Saccharomyces cerevisiae S288C: one gene and its partners. The gene in region 1 interacts genetically with each later gene. Each region holds a gene or a part of one and is shown on either strand. Other genes may lie near its edges. The genes, in order: YMR1, ARF3 and AZF1.

What was found.
Region 2: of YMR1 (region 1) and ARF3, extra expression of one rescues a mutant of the other (dosage rescue), as found in Saccharomyces cerevisiae (one study listed by BioGRID).
Region 3: of YMR1 (region 1) and AZF1, extra expression of one rescues a mutant of the other (dosage rescue), as found in Saccharomyces cerevisiae (one study listed by BioGRID).

What each region holds. Positions count from the first base shown.
Region 1 is NC_001142.9:631,281-636,095, reverse strand, and holds YMR1 (phosphatidylinositol-3-phosphatase YMR1), read right to left. Parts: upstream 2,482-4,815; coding exon 415-2,481; downstream 1-414. Other genes in the region: PXP2 (Pxp2p), read left to right, coding at 1-241; carbamoyl-phosphate synthase (glutamine-hydrolyzing) CPA2, read left to right, coding at 3,155-4,815. UniProt on the Saccharomyces cerevisiae protein: Lipid phosphatase which dephosphorylates phosphatidylinositol 3-monophosphate (PI3P). Involved in the control of PI3P-dependent signaling and in the maintenance of endosomal system integrity.
Region 2 is NC_001147.6:500,160-504,426, reverse strand, and holds ARF3 (Arf family GTPase ARF3), read right to left. Parts: upstream 1,633-4,267; coding exon 1,081-1,632; downstream 1-1,080. Other genes in the region: ribose-5-phosphate isomerase RKI1, read left to right, coding at 99-875; CMR2 (Cmr2p), read left to right, coding at 1,975-4,267. UniProt on the Saccharomyces cerevisiae protein: GTP-binding protein involved in protein trafficking; may modulate vesicle budding and uncoating within the Golgi apparatus.
Region 3 is NC_001147.6:530,860-535,674, forward strand, and holds the start of AZF1 (Azf1p), read left to right. Parts: upstream 1-3,215; coding exon 3,216-4,815. Other genes in the region: YOR111W (nucleotide diphosphatase), read left to right, coding at 1-268; COPI-interacting protein CEX1, read left to right, coding at 649-2,934. UniProt on the Saccharomyces cerevisiae protein: Transcription factor involved in the diauxic shift. In the presence of glucose, activates carbon and energy metabolism genes, and in te presence of glycerol-lactate, activates genes needed for cell wall maintenance.

The DNA of each region.
Region 1 (4,815 bases):
ACTGGTCCATGTATATGGCCCTTTGTTTGCCTTTGATGAGATACTATCTGCGCAAGAGACAAGTTTAGTGATAATTGCTTCTTTGGTTCCACAAGATGTTAATCCTCAATTGCGTGGGCATTTGAAAGGTGCCTTGAATATTGGTTGTGATAAGGAAACTGTGGAGGCAGTGAGAGGATTGGCTATACTAATATCTCAGTGGTGTGGTGTTAGTTGGAAATCTGGTGTTGTAAAATTGTAAGCCCCTTTGCCGATCGGCCACTCGTTATGCTCATAATATATGTACCCTTATTCATTAAAATTAATATATATATATGTATACTAACAACGGAGAAATGCTTGAACTTTTCTATACTTCTATCATTGTATGCAAAATACTAACTCACTTATTTGTCTTCTTTGCCGTTAACCAGATCACTTTCTATTAAACATATCAAATCCAAAAATTGACAAATTTAAACCCTTACCGCCATCGGAATTACTATGCTCTTTACTCTTTTTATCCACCGATATGGGTACTGAGTCTCGTTTATGGCGTAATTCATCATTCATTTCTGAATCTTTTCTTCCATATAACTGCCACCACCATTGGACTTTCTTCAGATCCGGCGAAATCCACTCCACTTTTTCTTCCTCTTCAAGGTTTTGATCGTGCTCATTCATGCCGCTTCTTTTTCTCTGTATGAAATTTGGATTTATGAACTGCTTTCTTCTAGATCTGAAGTAGTCCCAGACACTTTTAGTCTTGTTTGGCAAATTCTGTTGAAATTTCTCCTTCTCGCTATTGGAAAGGAATGTTCCATATTGGCATGAATACAAGTGGTAAACTAGTCTTCTTAAAAATCTTTCGTTGAATTCAAATAGATCTGGGTTTTGCGTCAAAAGTTGGTATACACAGTCTAAAAATTGTTGGAAAACTGGGGAGACGAACTTTAGACTTTTCTTGTTCAATTTAAAGTTTTCGTTAAATTTTTTGGAAATTCTACTCAAATTAATTAAATTCGTCTCATCTTCACCTCCTTCATCATCTTCAGCATAATCGTCTTGAGTGTTAACACCTATGTCAAGATCATCGCCATTGGTATCCACATCGTTGAAGTTGGAATGCATAGTGTTATCATGAAATCTAATATCAGAGTTTAAATGACCACTTCTTTCCAAAAACCGGTGACCAAAAGAGCACCAATCTTTTTCCACTAGGATCATAAAACCTTCAAAAGTTCTATAGAAAGGATCCAAACAAATTTCTAATAGTGATACAACTTGACTGGTTCTGTCCCAACCGTCAGAACAATGAACCAAAACGTTGGAATGATTGAAAATGATGGACTTTAAAAGCATATCAACGGATTTTAAAATAAGAGTGTTCAACTTCAACCAATTGGAAAATTTTTGACTCCTAATTAAATTCTGTTCCAGTGGTAAATTCAAATCGCCACCTTGGCAGATAACTTCCGTCATGTATGCAGCTGTGTTGGAAACAATATGAATGTTATCTATACCAAGAAATAACCGTGTAACTGTGGGCAGTTTTAGACTTTTATCGACACCCATATTGTTATCAGCTAAAAAAAAATTATAATTATCCATATTTTCTGTCCCGCCACCCAACGCCATCTGTGCTAATGCATTTGTTCTGGGTCTGGCATCTACTATTACATGTTTCGTTCTTCTAATATCTTTATTACAAAATGAGTTGAAGCTTTCCCAAACTAATTTTTCATCTTGAATGGACCTCTGATTGATCAACCCCGGTAATGGTTGAGATGACCTAAGAATGTTGCAATCTGTTGCCTTGTGATGATAAGTTAAAACAGGAATTCTTTTCTGTGATCTAAACTTCGAAGCATGCTTCAATAATATATCTGACGTGGATCTTGGTACAAAAAGTTTTGAGGGATACGTTGGACAAAATTCATAGTGTTCGTTTACCGTGGATAGCCTCCAAGGACATGTTTCATCTTTACTGTCGAGGCCCTGCCTTCGAAATTCCTTAATTGGGTCATATATATCCCAGCTATCGGGTGAAGGTAGTTTCCTTTCCAGATTGTTGGATATGTAAATAAATGCATATAGTTGCGTGATATTGGACAGGACCGTCAAATTTAAGATGGAATCATACACCTTTCTTGCCTGTAGATGTAAATCACCACCGAAATCCAATGAGAATACCGCATAATCTTTCCCAATTACCTTGATATTTACAAAAGACCATAGATCCTTACCCTGGTAAAGCTTGTAATTCTGTGAATCCGTTCCCTCCAATTGGATTTGATTAGTGGAAGTCAACTTGGACAGTAATGTACTACCCGGGTTTTTATGCACTCCATAGATCAAAGGATATGGAAACCAAAATTCCGTCGACAATTGTGGTGACTCAAAGATCAAATGGTGAGTAGTCAAATGTAAAGTACCTTGTGTGGCCGTACCTCTTCTATGCAGCACTACATTAGATACTTTGGCAATCTTGATGTACTCCATCTTTGCGGAATGGTATACTATTTCTTTTCCCTCTTTTTAGCACTATTACACCCCGCCCACAAAATAAAAATAATAACGACGACCTAATCTCACCAAGTGACCCTTGTAAAACCTCCTTTTCTTTATAATGTTTCTTTTCTTACTAATATTTGGTACATTTAGGGTAGTGATAAAAGAATGGCAACATTGTTATTATTGTGAAAAATGAGGAAAATAGAAAATCAGAAACCCTAAAAAGTGATTTTACCCTATCAGAAATATTCAAATGTCCTAATTAAAAATAGTAAATCCCCTAAACATTCAGATTGTAAACTAGGGTTGAGAAAATGACTCATCCACCACTGTCTTCTTTCCTGCGGCATTCTATAGATTATTGTGAATGACTCTTATTGATGAGATGGCAATAACTTTTGAATATCAGAGATAGGAACCTCCATGTCGTAACGATTGTGTCACCTTGAGTAAGCATCGAGAAAATCCAATCTTTTTTTTTCCGTCATAAGCATTTCTGCCATGCTATTTGTATATATATAATTACTAATACGTCTTCTATAGTATGCCTTATCTCTTTTTTGAAGCGCTATTTAAGTTTAAGCATCGAAAAACTAACATCTATAGTTAAAATTAGTTCTATAAAGGAAGAGCAATACAGTACATAGACAGGAAGAAAAGAATGACATCGATTTATACATCAACAGAGCCTACGAATTCTGCTTTTACTACCGAGGACTACAAACCTCAATTAGTTGAAGGAGTAAATTCTGTACTTGTCATTGGATCAGGAGGGCTCTCTATTGGTCAAGCTGGTGAATTCGATTACAGTGGTTCTCAAGCTATCAAAGCTCTGAAGGAAGATAACAAGTTTACTATATTGGTTAACCCAAATATCGCTACTAACCAGACTTCTCATTCCCTGGCGGACAAGATTTATTACTTGCCCGTTACACCAGAATACATCACATATATCATTGAACTTGAAAGGCCGGATGCTATACTTTTAACCTTCGGTGGTCAAACAGGTCTAAATTGTGGGGTGGCTCTGGATGAATCTGGTGTTTTGGCTAAATACAACGTCAAAGTTTTAGGTACTCCTATCAAAACTTTGATCACTTCTGAAGATAGGGATCTTTTCGCATCTGCGTTAAAGGATATCAACATTCCCATCGCAGAATCATTTGCTTGTGAAACCGTGGATGAAGCTTTGGAGGCTGCTGAAAGGGTCAAATACCCAGTTATTGTCAGATCTGCATACGCTTTGGGTGGGTTAGGCTCAGGTTTCGCTAACAATGCAAGTGAAATGAAGGAACTTGCCGCACAGTCCTTGTCGTTGGCCCCACAAATTCTTGTTGAAAAATCTTTGAAAGGTTGGAAAGAAGTTGAATATGAAGTGGTCAGAGATAGGGTTGGTAACTGTATTACAGTATGTAATATGGAAAATTTCGACCCACTTGGTGTTCATACTGGTGATTCTATGGTTTTTGCTCCTTCGCAGACCCTATCAGATGAAGAGTTTCATATGTTAAGATCCGCCGCAATTAAAATCATTAGACACCTTGGTGTTATTGGTGAATGTAATGTCCAATACGCTTTGCAACCTGATGGGCTAGACTATAGAGTTATTGAAGTGAACGCACGTTTATCTCGTTCCTCTGCATTGGCGTCTAAGGCCACTGGTTATCCCTTAGCATACACTGCCGCCAAAATTGGGCTAGGCTATACTTTGCCAGAATTGCCAAACCCAATCACAAAAACTACAGTGGCTAACTTTGAGCCATCTTTGGATTATATTGTGGCAAAAATACCTAAGTGGGATCTTTCTAAGTTCCAATACGTGGACAGATCCATTGGTTCCTCTATGAAATCAGTTGGAGAAGTTATGGCTATTGGTAGAAACTATGAAGAAGCCTTTCAAAAAGCATTAAGACAGGTGGATCCATCATTATTGGGATTCCAAGGTTCTACTGAATTCGGCGATCAACTTGATGAAGCCTTGAGAACTCCAACTGATAGAAGAGTCCTTGCCATTGGTCAGGCCTTAATCCATGAAAACTATACTGTTGAGAGAGTTAATGAATTGAGTAAAATTGATAAATGGTTTCTTTACAAGTGCATGAACATTGTTAATATCTATAAAGAGCTTGAATCAGTTAAATCTTTAAGTGACTTGAGTAAAGATCTCTTGCAGAGAGCCAAGAAATTAGGGTTTTCAGATAAGCAGATTGCGGTTACTATAAATAAACACGCCTCCACAAACATTAACGAACTGGAAATCAGAAGTTTAAGAAAAACGTTAGGTATAATCCCTTTTGTCAAGAGAATCGATACTTTGGCCGC
Region 2 (4,267 bases), on another chromosome or scaffold:
GGGACGTTCTTTTCTCTTGTAGAAAATTAACAACATCGTGTTACATAAACTTGGTTACCGCATACTGCAACCTCATATAAATACAACATAGGAAAGAAATGGCTGCCGGTGTCCCAAAAATTGATGCGTTAGAATCTTTGGGCAATCCTTTGGAGGATGCCAAGAGAGCTGCAGCATACAGAGCAGTTGATGAAAATTTAAAATTTGATGATCACAAAATTATTGGAATTGGTAGTGGTAGCACAGTGGTTTATGTTGCCGAAAGAATTGGACAATATTTGCATGACCCTAAATTTTATGAAGTAGCGTCTAAATTCATTTGCATTCCAACAGGATTCCAATCAAGAAACTTGATTTTGGATAACAAGTTGCAATTAGGCTCCATTGAACAGTATCCTCGCATTGATATAGCGTTTGACGGTGCTGATGAAGTGGATGAGAATTTACAATTAATTAAAGGTGGTGGTGCTTGTCTATTTCAAGAAAAATTGGTTAGTACTAGTGCTAAAACCTTCATTGTCGTTGCTGATTCAAGAAAAAAGTCACCAAAACATTTAGGTAAGAACTGGAGGCAAGGTGTTCCCATTGAAATTGTACCTTCCTCATACGTGAGGGTCAAGAATGATCTATTAGAACAATTGCATGCTGAAAAAGTTGACATCAGACAAGGAGGTTCTGCTAAAGCAGGTCCTGTTGTAACTGACAATAATAACTTCATTATCGATGCGGATTTCGGTGAAATTTCCGATCCAAGAAAATTGCATAGAGAAATCAAACTGTTAGTGGGCGTGGTGGAAACAGGTTTATTCATCGACAACGCTTCAAAAGCCTACTTCGGTAATTCTGACGGTAGTGTTGAAGTTACCGAAAAGTGAGCAGATCAAAGGCAAAGACAGAAACCGTAGTAAAGGTTGACTTTTCACAACAGTGTCTCCATTTTTTATATTGTATTATTAAAGCTATTTAGTTATTTGGATACTGTTTTTTTTCCAGAAGTTTTCTTTTTAGTAAAGTACAATCCAGTAAAAATGAAGGATGAACAATCGGTGTATGCAGATTCAACACCAATAAATGCAATGTTTATTTCTTTGGAACGTTTGTGTTGTTCGAAATCCAGGATAATCCTTCAACAAGACCCTGTCCGGATAAGGCGTTACTACCGATGACACACCAAGGTTGGTTTTTCAAATTTTTCTCCAGTTCTAAAAAATCGGAAACCTCTTGAGGTTTCATTGCATCTTTCAAATCTTGTTTGTTTGCCCATACCAGCAGTACTACATTCTCCATCTCTTTCTCACCTATGATACTATATAACTCTTCTTTGGCCTCTTCCATACGGTTTCTAGCACTAGAATCTATCACAAAGATAAGTGCGGTGGTGGCTGGAAAATAATGTCTCCAGAGAGGTCTCAATCTTTGTTGTCCTCCTACATCCCACATGTTGAATTTTACGTTTTTATAAGTAACGGTTTCCACGTTAAAACCGACAGTGGGAGTAGACGTCTTTATTTTATTTAATTTTAGTTTGTACAATATTGTTGTCTTACCAGCCTTATCCAGGCCTAGCATCAAAATTTTCATTTCTTTCGAGCCAAATAGTTTTCCCAGAACCTTCGAAATTGAATTGCCCATCTCTACAATTAGCTTGTCTTTTCCTTTTTTCCGTTCTAAATCCCAATTATCTTCCCAATGTCAAAGCAACTGTAATGTCTCAGTCTAATTCAGCGTACGTTGCGTCTTACTATGCTTCTGCAAATAGGGTTTTAATGCTGCGTACATCTTCATTATCTTATAAGTGCCATCATTCGGACGGGTAATGGATGAAATCGTCAAAACCCGATTACTTTCTAGTATGTTTTATTTCTGTTTATAATGTAGTCAAAAGAGCTTCAACAGATTTAACATTTGCTTCCGTAAACTTGGTGTTAGGGTGATTCAGTTCTGTGTAAAAGCGTGTGGCATTGAGTTACTCCAATGGATTTTTCTATTCCTCCTACCTTACCTCTAGATCTGCAAAGTCGGTTAAATGAGTTAATTCAAGACTATAAGGATGAAAATCTAACAAGAAAGGGTTATGAGACCAAAAGAAAACAATTGCTAGACAAATTTGAAATCTCCCAAATGAGGCCTTATACCCCGCTTCGATCTCCCAATTCGAGAAAGTCGAAACATTTGCACAGAAGAAATACAAGTCTTGCATCATCCATTACGTCGTTACCTAATTCAATTGACAGACGTCATTCTATCTATCGTGTCACAACTATAAACTCGACTTCTGCGAACAATACTCCCAGAAGGCGGAGCAAGAGATATACAGCTTCTTTGCAATCGTCATTGCCAGGTTCCAGTGATGAAAACGGTTCAGTGAAGGATGCCGTTTATAATCCTATGATACCATTACTACCAAGACACACTGGAGCCGAAAATACTAGCAGTGGAGACTCAGCAATGACGGATTCTTTACCGCTAATTTTACGGGGACGCTTTGAACATTATGATGGTCAAACAGCGATGATCAGCATAAATTCTAAAGGCAAAGAAACGTTCATCACATGGGATAAACTTTATTTGAAAGCGGAGAGGGTAGCACATGAATTGAATAAGAGTCACCTTTACAAAATGGATAAGATTTTACTATGGTACAATAAAAATGATGTCATCGAATTTACTATTGCATTATTAGGCTGTTTCATATCCGGCATGGCAGCTGTACCAGTCTCATTCGAAACGTATTCTCTGCGTGAGATCCTTGAGATAATTAAAGTAACAAATTCGAAATTTGTTCTGATTTCTAACGCATGTCATAGACAATTAGATAACTTGTATTCGTCATCAAATCATTCAAAAGTTAAACTGGTTAAGAACGATGTTTTCCAGCAAATCAAATTTGTCAAGACTGATGACTTAGGGACGTACACAAAGGCAAAAAAAACTTCGCCTACCTTTGATATACCGAATATTTCATATATAGAGTTTACTAGAACACCGCTAGGTCGTCTTTCTGGCGTCGTCATGAAGCATAACATCTTAATAAACCAATTTGAAACGATGACAAAAATTCTAAACTCACGATCAATGCCTCACTGGAAACAAAAATCACAAAGCATCAGGAAGCCATTTCACAAAAAAATTATGGCAACCAACTCAAGGTTTGTTATCTTGAATAGTCTGGACCCTACTAGATCTACTGGTTTGATAATGGGTGTGCTTTTCAATCTTTTTACTGGTAATCTTATGATATCTATCGATAGTAGTATATTACAACGACCTGGGGGCTATGAAAATATCATTGATAAATTTAGAGCCGACATTTTACTGAATGATCAGCTACAATTGAAGCAGGTAGTTATTAATTATTTGGAAAATCCCGAATCAGCTTTTTCCAAGAAGCACAAAATAGATTTCAGTTGCATCAAGTCATGTTTAACCTCATGTACCACTATAGATACCGATGTAAGCGAGATGGTTGTTCATAAATGGCTGAAAAATTTAGGATGTATTGATGCACCATTTTGTTATTCTCCCATGTTAACGTTATTGGACTTTGGTGGTATCTTTATATCTATAAGAGATCAATTAGGAAACCTAGAGAACTTTCCAATACATAATTCAAAACTAAGGCTTCAAAATGAATTGTTTATAAACCGCGAGAAATTGAAGCTTAATGAGGTTGAATGTAGCATAACTGCTATGATTAATTCATCAAGCTCCTTCAAAGATTATCTTAAATTAGAAACATTTGGCTTCCCAATTCCTGATATCACTTTATGTGTGGTTAATCCAGATACGAATACGTTGGTGCAAGACCTCACTGTTGGAGAAATATGGATCTCTTCTAACCACATCACCGACGAATTTTACCAGATGGATAAAGTGAACGAATTTGTGTTCAAAGCAAAACTAAATTACTCCGAAATGTTTTCTTGGGCAAAGTATGAAATGCCTACTAACGAAAAATCGCAAGCAGTTACTGAACAATTGGATACCATTCTGAATATTTGTCCTGCAAATACCTACTTTATGAGAACCAAGCTTATGGGGTTTGTTCATAACGGAAAGATATACGTGCTTTCACTCATAGAAGATATGTTTTTACAGAATAGATTAATCAGATTACCTAACTGGGCTCACACATCAAACCTTCTTTATGCCAAAAAAGGGAATCAATCTGCTCAACCTAAAGGTAACACTGGAGCAGAAAGCACTAAGGCTATTGATATTTCGAGTTTAAGTGGCGAAACATCTTCGGGATACAAAAGAGTTGTTG
Region 3 (4,815 bases), on another chromosome or scaffold:
GACTTTAATTAAATGGTACGGCAGAGAAAACTTTGAATTGGTACCATTCCGAGATGAAACCAAGGTATACTTTGATAACAAAATACCTTTGAGAATATTGGAAGAATATGTAGAAAGCGGAGATGGGCTGGAGGTTGGCGGTGGATTTAAAATACAAGGGCAAGGTGCTATTCTAATTGAAAAAATTGAAGGTGATTACTATAACGTAGTTGGTTTACCGCTCAATAAAACGTTCAAAGGACTCTATGCTGAGGCTAATTCCATATAACCTTCGTTTAGGTTTTCTTTGGTGTTGCTCAGTTAACTATGTTAATCTTTGCAACACCAGAAGAATGAGTGGAACGGATATTAAAGGCCACATTGGTGAATAGATACATGCGCTAAATAACACGGCTATTAACATTCTACGAGACAGTTTTTCGATTGATGGTAAAGAAAGTTTAAAGCAATACGCATTTTGAATTTCACGCTTTCGCGCACATCTTCTATTTTTTTCACCTTCAAAAAGGCCCTTTCTCTTTGTCTGTTTATATTATGATTATATTAAATATAAGTATCTTAAAAACAATAATATCGTCAAGTTATTTAGTCGAGAGTTTGACACTGTTACTATCGTTGCTTTTATTGGTGAACAAGTATCTGTAAGTGATGAATTTTTCCAGCATTTTCAAATCTATTTCGAATTTCCAGTTCCCATACACCATAGAGGAAACTGCAATCACTGAAACCGCCCTTTGGCAATGTTTCGATGGTACAAGGAAGGCAGATTCCTTGCCAGTAACAGTTTTTAAGGCAAAAAGATCTCCAGAAAATGAATCTTTAATTTTAAATGCTGTACACAAGAGCAAAATTTTGAAGATTCCAGGACTTTGTACGGTGCTGGAGACATTTGATTCCGACCCCCAATCCACATTTATTGTTACCGAACGAGTAGTTCCATTTCCTTGGGATAATCTAGGCTCTTTATCTCAAAACAAATTTGGTGTTGAATTAGGAATATCACAATTATTGGCAACTTTAGGATTTTTAAAAAACTTTGTCCTTGGTACGCTTTCTAAAGATTCTGTTTTTATCAATATTAAGGGAGAGTGGGTACTATTTGGGCTAGAACTTTGTTCAAGCAAAGAAGGATTAAGTGCGTTTGAATTTGCCAGTAGAGCGAGGTCATATTACAACATAATTGGCTCACAGTTGCCCTGTGAAGATCCGAATACAATTGATTCAATGGGGTTAGGATTGTTGATAAAGAGCCTTATGGCTCCTTCTTGTCTGCCCAAAGATTGGATTGTCAATGTAAATATGATTTCAGATGGAAAGATAACAATCGAAAACTTCAGAAAAAGGCTAGAAAATACAGAAACTTGGCGTTCTAATCCTTTGATAAACTTTTATCAAGAATTGAGGGAGTTGCATATAAAGGACCCACAGGGAAAATTGGTTGTGATGTCAAACTTGGAAAATTTGTATTTAGAGTCAAGAGAGATTTTCCGTAATTTAACGCCTGGAATGATAGAAAATTTTATTATTCCAGAGCTTTGTGAAATTATAAAATTATTAATGACACAAAGCATCAGTAGTGCTGCCAGCCCTATAGGCATGAACTTCAACGCATCACATAAACTAGTACCATTCTTAGCGATTGTTTTAGACCTAACTTCTGAAACGAACACCTTTCCAGTTGGTTTCAACGACCTTATCACCCAAAGTTTTAAACTGCCAGATAGGCAAGTAAGATTTCTTTTACTAATATACCTACCCAAATTAATAGGTCCATTGAGCAAATCAGAGATCTCCAGTAGGATATATCCACATTTTATCCAAGGTCTGACCGACTCTGATGCCACTCTTAGATTACAAACACTGAAGACAATTCCATGCATTGTGTCATGTTTAACAGAGAGACAACTGAATAATGAGCTACTGAGGTTTCTCGCAAAAACACAGGTTGATTCTGACGTTGAAATCCGAACATGGACAGTCATCATAATAAGTAAAATCTCAACCATATTATCAACGTCAGTTGGTAATCGCTCGAATATTTTAGCTACGGCGTTCACAAAATCTTTGAAAGATCCTCAAGTAAAACCAAGATTGGCTGCTCTTTATGGGCTTGAGAAGTCGATTGAGCTGTTTGATGTGAACACAATCGCCAACAAAATTTTAACAGTCATTGCCCCTGGTTTATTAGATAAAAGTCCCATAGTAAGAGGCAGAGCCAAAATCCTGTTCGAAGAATATCTGGAAAAATTGGAAAAAGAAGCCCAACTTATTCAAACAAACGATAGTACTGCAGATTCGGAAGATGTGAAAGATATTGATTTTGAGAATTACGGTTGTGATGAAGAGGATATGAATAAAGAAGACAATTTGTTAGCCGCACAATTTTTAAATAATTTACGTTTAAATTCTCCCTCAGCAACAACACCAAGTAACATTACCGAGAGCGAAATTGATTCCGCCCAGGATGGAAGTGGATGGGACGACCTCAGCGATACCGATGGCTTTATTACAAATGGTACCACAGAATCCTTCGATGAAACAACAAACCCTGTAACAACCGCAAGCACCCCAAAATTATTCGGAAAACCTATTAAAATTAATAAAAGTTGGAATGATGAGTTGAATGATGATGGCTGGATTCAAGATGAAAGCGGCCCATCAAAGGTGCCTCAAAAACACACAAGGCCACAAAATTCAACGTTGGCAAAATCCATCGCTCCTAGCTCAAGGCTTTCTATCAAGAAGAAGAAAACAACGATCCTAGCACCAAGAAACATTGCTAGTAACTCTACTGTTACCACCAAATCGTCACTGTCCAATAAAACTGCAAGAAGTAAGCCTATAAGTAGTATCCGCGGCTCGGTAACCAAGAAAGGAAATGTTGACGGCTGGGATGATGATGGGGATTCAGACTCCTGGGATACGAATTGGTGATCCCAAGACTTATATAGCCCTACGTATTGTAGAAGGATATATTCAGTGTTAATCGTTATTTAGAAACATTACGCCCGTGCCCCGCGATTTCGCTTCTTTGAGAAGTGGAGGAAAAGAAGGGTCCCTTTAATTCCAGTAGAAATGAAGCATAAGCAAGAAGAGTCATCAGAAAAGGGAACCTTGTAGTACTATAGATGGTCCCACAGAGAAATTAATTGGGACAAAAACAGCTACACAAGCGATATACTTCAAAAGATTCAGATATTGAAAAATTACCAGCCATGCCTCCTCCAACTGCACAGTTCATGGGCCCTACGCAGGCGGGACAAAATGAAAGCCAAAATCAATCATCAGGCGAAGCTGGGGAGCAAAACCAGGAGCATGGGCAAGGCCCTACTCCTATTCTTAATCAAAGTCAACCGGCTTCTTCTCAACCGCAACATCAACAACAAAGGAATGAGTCGATTTCATATTATACAAATTTCAACCAGCCACGATATTCCACGGACGCCTCTATCAACTCATTCTTGAACATATCTGATAACGTACCAGTAACAAGTACAGGAGGACCTAGTTCTGGCGGCGCCTATTCCAATCTTCCACGATTATCCACTTCAAGTACACATCAACCGCCAGACCTGTCGCAAATCGGACGCGGCTTTTCCATTGTAAACAACCTCTTCCCACAACAACAGCAGCTTCAAAATCAGCATCGGCAACAGCAGCAACAACAACAACAGCAGTCGCACCAGCAGCCTCCCTTCAAGACCCCTTCATTTTCGACGGGATTAACGGGAAGTTCTTCTCAATATCAATTTTTACCAAGAAATGATAATACTTCGCAGCCACCTTCAAAAAGAAACTCTGTTTATCTTGGACCTAATGATGGGCCTGATTTTGAATTTTTCAGTATGCAGCAGTCACAGCAACCGCAGTTCCAGCCTAGCAGTAGAAGAGAATCAAACTCTATGAGACCTCCACTGTTAATACCTGCAGCAACTACTAAAAGCCAGTCCAATGGCACCAATAATAGTGGGAATATGAACACAAATGCAGATTATGAATCATTTTTTAATACTGGTACAAACAACAGTAATTCTAATCAGAACCCGTACTTTTTGAGTTCAAGAAATAATTCTTTGAAGTTTAATCCTGAAGATTTCGATTTTCAATTCAAAAGGCGGAATTCTTTTGTTAGAGGTACTTTGGACCATAGCAGCCAAAATGCGTTTATACCTGAATCAAGATTAAACTCACTATCCGTTAACAACAAAGCTAATGGTGATCCTGTCGCGGATAATGTTACCAATAACATGAAAGGAAAAAGTAATGAAGTTGACAATGATGATGGCAATGACAGTAGCAATAACAATAACAACAACAACAACAACAACAACAATGAAAACAACAATGACAACAATAATGATAATAACGACAATAGTATTAATTCCGCCACCAGTACTAATATCCCAAACCAAGAGGACCATAGCCTTGCTTCTACCGATACCACAAGCAATAGTAGGAAAGATCTAAAAGAAATAGAACAAAGACTTCGAAAACATTTGAATGATGAGGATAATTACTCTAGTGCTATATCAAGACCATTGGATAAAAACGACGTAATTGAAGGCAGTGAGGGATTGAACAAACATATAGACGAGTCTGGTATGCAACCTAATATTATCAAGAAAAGGAAAAAGGATGATTCTACTGTGTACGTCAAGAATGAGATGCCCCGTACTGATCCCCCGATGAGTAAAGACAATTCTACTTCTGCTGAAGGAGCAGCAATGGCAAACTTTTCTGGTAAAGAACCTCCTATACCTGACATAAGTTCAGTAAGTGATGATGCTACTAACCTGATAGGTGCAACAAAGGTCG